Callithrix jacchus: one gene and its partner. The protein of the gene in region 2 binds, or shares a complex with, the protein of the main gene of each other region. Links are inferred from orthologs where the notes say so. Each region holds a gene or a part of one and is shown on either strand. Other genes may lie near its edges. The genes, in order: UPF1 and UPF2.

What was found.
Region 1: the proteins of UPF2 (region 2) and UPF1 are in contact, whole or in part, in a crystal structure (PDB 2WJV), measured with the Homo sapiens proteins. The link is inferred for Callithrix jacchus from reciprocal best matches to the Homo sapiens genes UPF2 and UPF1. Residues at the interface, in NP_056357.1 of Homo sapiens: Val1105, Cys1107, Glu1109, Asp1110, Phe1113, Ile1114, Ala1116, Leu1117, Met1120, Met1121, Asn1124, Leu1125, Arg1128, Met1169, Pro1170, Phe1171, Val1172, Met1173, Leu1174, Thr1175, Gln1181, Lys1184, Leu1186, Asn1187, Val1188, Pro1189, Ser1192, Gln1193, Leu1194, Asn1197; in NP_001284478.1 of Homo sapiens: Asn150, Thr151, Ser152, Gly153, Val157, Asn158, Leu160, Val161, Arg162, Lys164, Lys166, Pro175, Leu176, Gly177, Thr179, Tyr184, Cys188, Asn190, Val191, Phe192, Leu193, Phe196, Pro198, Asp202, Ser203, Val204, Val205, Val206, Leu207, Cys209.

What each region holds. Positions count from the first base shown.
Region 1 is NC_133523.1:17,563,414-17,566,437, forward strand, and holds part of UPF1 (regulator of nonsense transcripts 1), read left to right. Parts: intron 1-432; coding exon 433-607; intron 608-1,090; coding exon 1,091-1,172; intron 1,173-2,158; coding exon 2,159-2,320; intron 2,321-2,427; coding exon 2,428-2,645; intron 2,646-2,916; coding exon 2,917-3,024. UniProt on the Homo sapiens protein: RNA-dependent helicase required for nonsense-mediated decay (NMD) of aberrant mRNAs containing premature stop codons and modulates the expression level of normal mRNAs.
Region 2 is NC_133508.1:2,073,119-2,077,388, reverse strand, and holds the start of UPF2 (regulator of nonsense transcripts 2), read right to left. Parts: upstream 2,961-4,270; 5' UTR 2,571-2,960; intron 1-2,570. UniProt on the Homo sapiens protein: Involved in nonsense-mediated decay (NMD) of mRNAs containing premature stop codons by associating with the nuclear exon junction complex (EJC).

The DNA of each region.
Region 1 (3,024 bases), on a different chromosome or scaffold from region 2:
AGATGCCTTCTTGTCTGGTGGGCAGTATCGGGTGGGTCCCCCCCATAGCTGTGTGAGGTGGGCCAGAGGAGCTGGGTATCGAGTCTGCCCCACCCCACCGGGGGCTTTGTGGGACTGCCTGTGCCCAGTGCCTGGAAGGCCAACTCTTGACAGCAGACCCTGTCTCCAAGCGTATCCACCCAGCTTGGTGTCTGCCATGGGGCTGCTTAAGAGTTGGCCACAAAATCACCCCATGTGTAAGATCAGTGGCTTGGCATTAGACTCTAGGGCCCGTCCCTGTGGCCAACAGCCTGCCCGCCACCTCAGCTCACCCATTCCATGCCTCTGTTGCCTTGAATTTGGGTTCTGAGCGAGTGCAGCCTTGCCTCTTGGACCATCCTGTGAGACGGGCAGCTCTCCACGTGCGTCCTCAGCACCGCACCCCTGCCGCAGGTATGGCGTCATCATTGTGGGCAACCCAAAGGCGCTGTCGAAGCAGCCGCTCTGGAACCACTTGCTGAACTACTACAAGGAGCAGAAGGTGCTGGTGGAGGGGCCGCTCAACAACCTGCGCGAGAGCCTCATGCAGTTCAGCAAGCCACGCAAGCTGGTCAACACCATCAACCCGGTGAGTGCCCACAGGGCAGCGGGGGCATGGAGAAACCCGGGCCCAAAACACTGCTGGGAAGGTGGTACAGGGGTCCACGGTGCCCGTGAGCTGAGGGCGGGCAGCCCACCCGTCTCCCGAGCTGTGTGTGGCATGTTTGGTTCAGGGCTGCTAGGTCCTGAGAGGCTTCTGAAATTGGGCTCTGGCTGCTGTGCTGCAGCAGCCTGGGACCTCGGACATGGTCTGCGAGCCTGGGGTGCTCTGGTGATGAGGGGTGTGAAGCTGCCTCAGCCGAGTCCCAGGGGTCAGCGTCAGAGCCCAGGTTGGGCTGACAGGGCAGGCCCAGAGCCCATGAGACAGCAGCTCCCTCCTGCCCCCAGAGAGAGCCCCTAGCACAGTGTCAGCACCCACAGCGGCACACCTGCCCCTCCCAGGCCACTGGTTGGTGGGAAGTCGTTCTTTGTGTTGAGATGACAAATTCCTCACCTATCTAAACCTTCGCAGGGGGCCCGCTTCATGACCACAGCCATGTATGATGCCCGGGAGGCCATCATCCCCGGCTCCGTCTATGATCGGAGCAGCCAGGGTGAGTCACTCAGCAGGAGACCCAGCCGGCCCCTTTGTCCCCACACTGGGATGCTAGCTGTTCCCACAGCTGCAGCTTTGGGTGTCCCCCTTTCCTCCCCGTCGAGGGCAGGGCCTGGCTCCCTTGGCCTCCCAGCGTTTGTCTTTAGCCGGAGTCCATTCATTAGTGTTTACTGGTGATCAAGCTAGTTAGCTTTTTCTTGCTTTTTGGTGGTGGTAGGGTAGGGGCTGCATGTAGTACAAATAGAACATTTTTATTAAAAGGATTTTTTTTTTTTTTTGTAAATGGAGGGAGCTTTTCATATATTTTTTTGTTTAGAGACAGGGAGGGTCTCACTATGTTGTCCAGGCTGGTCTTGAACTCCTGGCTCAAGCTGTCCTTGCGTCTCAGCCTCCCACAGTGCTGGGATTATAGGCGTGACTCACTGTGCCCGGCCAATTTTCAGGGGTTTGTTGTTTGTTTTTCAGACAGTCTCTCTGTCACCCAAGCTGGAGTACAGTGGTGCAGTCTTGGCTCATTGCAACCTCCACCTCCTGGGTTCCATCAGTTCTCCCGCCTCAGCCTCCCAAGTAGCTGGGATTACAGGCACCTGCCACAACGCCCAGCTAATTTTTGTATTTTTAGTAGAGACAGGGTTTCACCATGTTGACCAGGCTGTCTTGAACTCCTGATCTCAGGTGATCTACCTGCCTTGGCCTCCCAAAGTGCTGGGATTAACAGGCATGAGCTACTGCACCCAGTCCCAATTTTCAGTTTTTAAGATCTGTGTAGGCCAGTGATTCCCAGCAGACTCTCCTAGGGGAAGGTGCCGGCCCAGGCATCCAGCCCCAGGCAGGCTGCTGTAGTCAACATGGAGTCCTGGGAATCTGCATCTTCAGCCTGGGCAGGGCCAGCACATGTGTAGCTCCGGCTGACTGGCTGGTGGGGTGGGTGGCGACATCGCTGGGGTTTGACCGAGGCAAGTGACGCCTTACTGTGATTTTCAGGCCGGCCCTCTAGCATGTACTTCCAGACCCACGACCAGATCGGCATGATCAGTGCTGGCCCCAGCCACGTGGCCGCCATGAACATTCCCATCCCCTTCAACCTGGTCATGCCGCCCATGCCGCCACCTGGCTATTTCGGACAAGCCAACGGGCCAGCTGCAGGTGAGCACCTGTAGCCAGGGCTGGGTGTGGCCCTTCTGAGAGCTCCTGAGGGTGTGCGTATCTTCCAGGCCCTGGCCTCCTCATCACCCTGGACTGCTGTCTTTCAGGCCGAGGCACCCCGAAAGGCAAGACTGGTCGTGGGGGACGCCAGAAGAACCGCTTTGGGCTTCCTGGGCCCAGCCAGACCAACCTCCCCAACAGTCAAGCCAGCCAGGATGTGGCGTCACAGCCCTTCTCGCAGGGCGCCCTGACACAGGGCTACATCTCCATGAGCCAGCCCTCCCAGATGAGCCAGCCCGGCCTGTCCCAGCCGGAGCTGTCCCAGGTGAGGCCGCCCCACGCAGAGCCCTCTCGGAGCCCTCCGAGGGGACCTGTGGGAATGAGGGTGGGGCTGTGCACCTGGAACATTTCCCCTGGAGAGCCGGTCTGGCCTGTGTACCCTGTGTGGGTTACCTGTCCCTGAGCTGGGGTCAGCGGAGTGGGTCTCTGGCTGTTAGTTTGGGGACAGCTTTTCCATTCTCTTGGGCTGCTGAGGGCTGGATGGACGTGAGCGCCCTTGGCTGGTGGCTTGCTCACCTCCCCACCTTGTCTTTCAGGACAGTTACCTTGGCGACGAGTTTAAATCACAGATTGACGTGGCGCTCTCACAGGACTCCACATACCAGGGAGAGCGGGCTTACCAGCATGGCGGGGTGACGGGACTA
Region 2 (4,270 bases):
TGCACTCACAGCTGTGAAAAGGAAGCTTTTTACTCATTAATGAAGAAGACTTAGTTGACACAACCCTCGTGCTGCCCTGGCACCTCAGAGGGAAGTTGGTCAGGAGTGAGTTCACATACCCTTTGGTGGCACCAGAGCTCAGCCCAGACACTCTTGCTCAGTTTCTCAGCAGATGTGCACCCCCACCTGGCTGTCCTGAAATACCTACAAAATTCAATATTCAGTTTCTTCAATGTAATAATTTTGGAAACTCAAGCCAAAATGAAGCCCACTGTAGCCATATTCTTCCCAAAAATGGTGACAGAAGACTTTGGAAGCCATGTAGAATGAAATGACTATATACACGAAATAAGAAAAACAAAAACCTACTCAAAATAGTCCAGAGACTGTAATATGAAATACAAAACTATAAAAAATCTAAAAGAAAATCTAGATGACATTGGGTTTGGTGTTGAGTTTTTTTTTTTTTTTTTAATTTATTGTTTATTTTTTTTAATTAGTAGAGACGGGGTTTCACCATGTTGACCTGGATGGTCTCGATCTCTTAACCTCGTGATCCACCCCGGCCTCCCCAAGTGCTGGGATTACAGGCTTGAGCCACCGTGCCTGGCCGGTGTTGAGTTTTAATACACAACATCAAATGCCAATTCACGAAAATATTGATAACAGACTTTATAAAACTACATATTCTACTGTGAAAAACTGTAGATAAAACAAAAAGACAAGACAGACGTGAGAAGATTTTACACAATACATATGTGATTTTAAAACTGGATAAATATCTGAACAGATAACCACAGCAAAAGCCATGGTGGATGCCCATCTCTACTAAAAATATAAAAGTTACCCAGGCATGGTGGTGCATGCCTGTGATCCCAGCTGCTCGGGAGGCTGAGGAAAGACAATCGCTCGAACCTGGGAGGCAGAGGTTGTGGTGGGCCAAGATCACACCATTCCTCTGCCCTACTGTATATGTGAAAATGCAGATTCACTGAACCAGACTAAATTGTATTCAGTGGAAGGCTGATCAAGGATTCAAAAGGATGCAACCTTTTGTTTTATCTACCTCTGACCCAGAAGCACCCCCACTTCCTACTTCCGGTTGTTCCACCTTACTGAACCAAAAGACTGTACATCTTACACACATTGATTGGTGTCTCCTGTCTCTCTAAAATGTATAAAAGCAAGCTTTACCCTGACCACCTCGGGCCCATGTTGTCAGGATCTCCTGAGGCTGTGTCATGGGCATGTCCTTAACCTTGGCAAAAGAAGCGTTCTAAATTGGCTGAGACCTGACTCACGTATTTTGGGATCACAATCTGCAGTCGCCATGGTGTGACAGTTGACTACAGCATTCAGTACAGAGATATGCCATACAGGTTTGTAGCATGGGAGCAATAGGCGACACCATATAACTTATGTGTGGAGTGGGCTACACCAGCTATGATTTTAAAGGACACTCTATGGTGTTCGGACAAGAATGAAATCACCAAGGACAAATTTCTCAGAAAGAATTCACATCATTAGGAGATGCTTGAGTGTATTTTAAATGATTAAAGCCTAAGAGAGAAAAAAAAAAAAAAAAAGAAAAAGAAACTCAACTCCCGTTATGGTTTAATAAAAAAGCTTAATAGAGTTAACATATTTCATCTAACCTAAGATGCTAATGATGAACAGACATTATTTTACGCACCATCACAAATAGGTTGCCAATTAAACTGACTTTCTGAACAACATAAATGTGAATTTACTTCTATTAATGCCAGTAAAGTAAAATGAAAATGAAGTATGGTTTTGACATGTTAAAGCAAAACAGGAGGAAGCCGTTAGCCTGAGGTATTGCAAAGCAAACAGAAACCGAATTGGAGGCATTAAAACTGACTTCAAAACATTAGCAAACCACCCAGTGAATGACAATAAGCCCAGCCGCCAGCTGGCTGTATGATTAAGGACGCTGAGGGAAGCATCCCACCAACAGGTGGTCGCCTAGCTGGAGCCAAGGAGAAACCTCACTTAGCTGCCACCGCTAAGAGCTCGAAGCCCCAAGCCCTGCTTTGTGTTCTGGTGCTTCAGGTGTGATTCACGAATCATTCCTTTGCTTAAATAAACTGTTTATTTTGCCTAAAATTCTTCTAGCCCCTAAATCCTAACACATAACCGGTAACCCCCAACTCTAACCCTAACCCCTAGCCCTGATCCTCACCCTAAGCCCTAACCATACGTTAGTTTCTGCGTTTGCACTGACAAGTCAGTGTTGACAATTCAGACTGCTGTATGGGCCCGGCCGCATGGGCAGTGCGGATTATATAGTAACATTGTGGACTGAGGCCCTGCATGAGCATCACAGCTGTTTTCTACATGAGCGCTGCGGGTGTTGTATTGGCATTTCGGATGTCATATCTGCCTTAGGAACGCTCCATTTGTATTCTGAGGCTGCGGTGTGCACCTCGCACTGCAGCCGCGTGGCCTTGGCTTGGGAGAACCTCGGTGCTCAGGATTCAGAGGGGTTTTTGGGGTCCAGGTTTCCACACCGAGATCTTACTAGTGCAAACAGGAAAGATTTTACTCACTGTGGACACGGCCTAGACTTGTCCCAAAGTGAGGCTTTGCCCACTAGGTCTATGCTGTGGAGAACACAGCTCCATCCTCGCAGTGTCCCCCAGGTCTGCAATGGGACAATGAAACTCTGCAGACCGCCGAGATGCAATGCACGCTGGTACCGTGACACCGTCTGAAAAGGCGGGCTCGGGCGCCCCCTGCTGGCGGATGGGCAGTGCAGTGCCCTCTTGCTCCCGGTGATGTGCCCCCGCCCTCTTCTGGCGACTAGGGCCACTGCAAGGCCCTCTCCCAGTAAGACACAAGCCCCAAGGTCTGTGCTGAACAGGAGGCAGCTCCATCCTCGAAGCGCCCCCAGATCTACACTAAGGAGAACGCAACTCTGCAGACCGCTGTGACGCGACAAAGGGCGGCACTGTGACCGGACGCACATCTGCGGCGGAGCCTCAGGAATCTGAAACGGCGGGCTTGGGTGCCCCCTCCTGGTGGAGGACTACTGCAGGGCCCTCTTGCTCACACTGCAGTGGCAAGATGCCCCCTGCTGGCAACTAGGACAATGCAGCGTCCTCTTGCTCACTGGGCTGGGGGGCTGTGCATATGCACATAAGGTGCACCTACATGTACACAGTGTGCAACTACACGTACATGTGCACATACTGTATATCTGTACCTAATGTAAACATCATGCAAATGTGCACATGCTGTATGTCTCTACATAATGTGCACATTATGTACACGTGTATATATGGTACATCTGTACATAGTCTGTACATTATGCATACGTGAATATACTGTGTATATTATGTATACGTGTACATAATGTACATCTCTACATAATGTGCACATTATGTACACGTGTATATATGATACATCTGTACATAATGTACACAATGTGCACACATATGTACACGTGTCTATATAGTACATATGTAGATACTGTGTACATTATGTACGTTTACATATTGAAATGCCAAAATAAATTATATGTACATAATGTGTACAATCTGTACATTTACTGTGATACTACGTATTATATATATATTTTTTGTGATTTCATATATGGTATCATTGTGACATTAAAATAAATGTACATATCATACACATTATGTACATATAAATGTACATATTGTACAGATTATGTAAATTTATTGTGTATAGGTATTTTGTACACATTGTACATCACAGTAAATGTACATATGGTACATACAATATACATTTATTGTAATATTCCAAAAAACATACACATTATAAGTATATTCCAGGATATTATTTTTAGTATATTAGAAAAAAATCACTCCTAATATCAAAATGGGTATACACCCATGTGTGTCCATTTTGTGATATTATCCATCATATCCTAAGTAGGTATTACTCTCATTGTGAAAGCAAGTGTACACTCTGTGATTGTTCCAATATCACAGGCAAAGTAAAATGCTTCTGTGATGTAGTTAATCATATCCGAGGGACAAAGGATGACCATACCCTGAATATCGCAGGAAGTGTACACCACCACTGTAGTATTGTTTCTAATATTCAAAAACGGAGAGAATATTACTCCAAATATCTCAGAAAGCACACAAGCCCCCTGTGATATTGTTTCTAATACCTAGGGGATTACAGATGACATTACTCACGATGTGACTGGGGCTGTATGCCGGTCCTGTGATATTGTTCCTAATATCCAGAGAAGGAGAGGAGAATGTTGCTGTCCTTA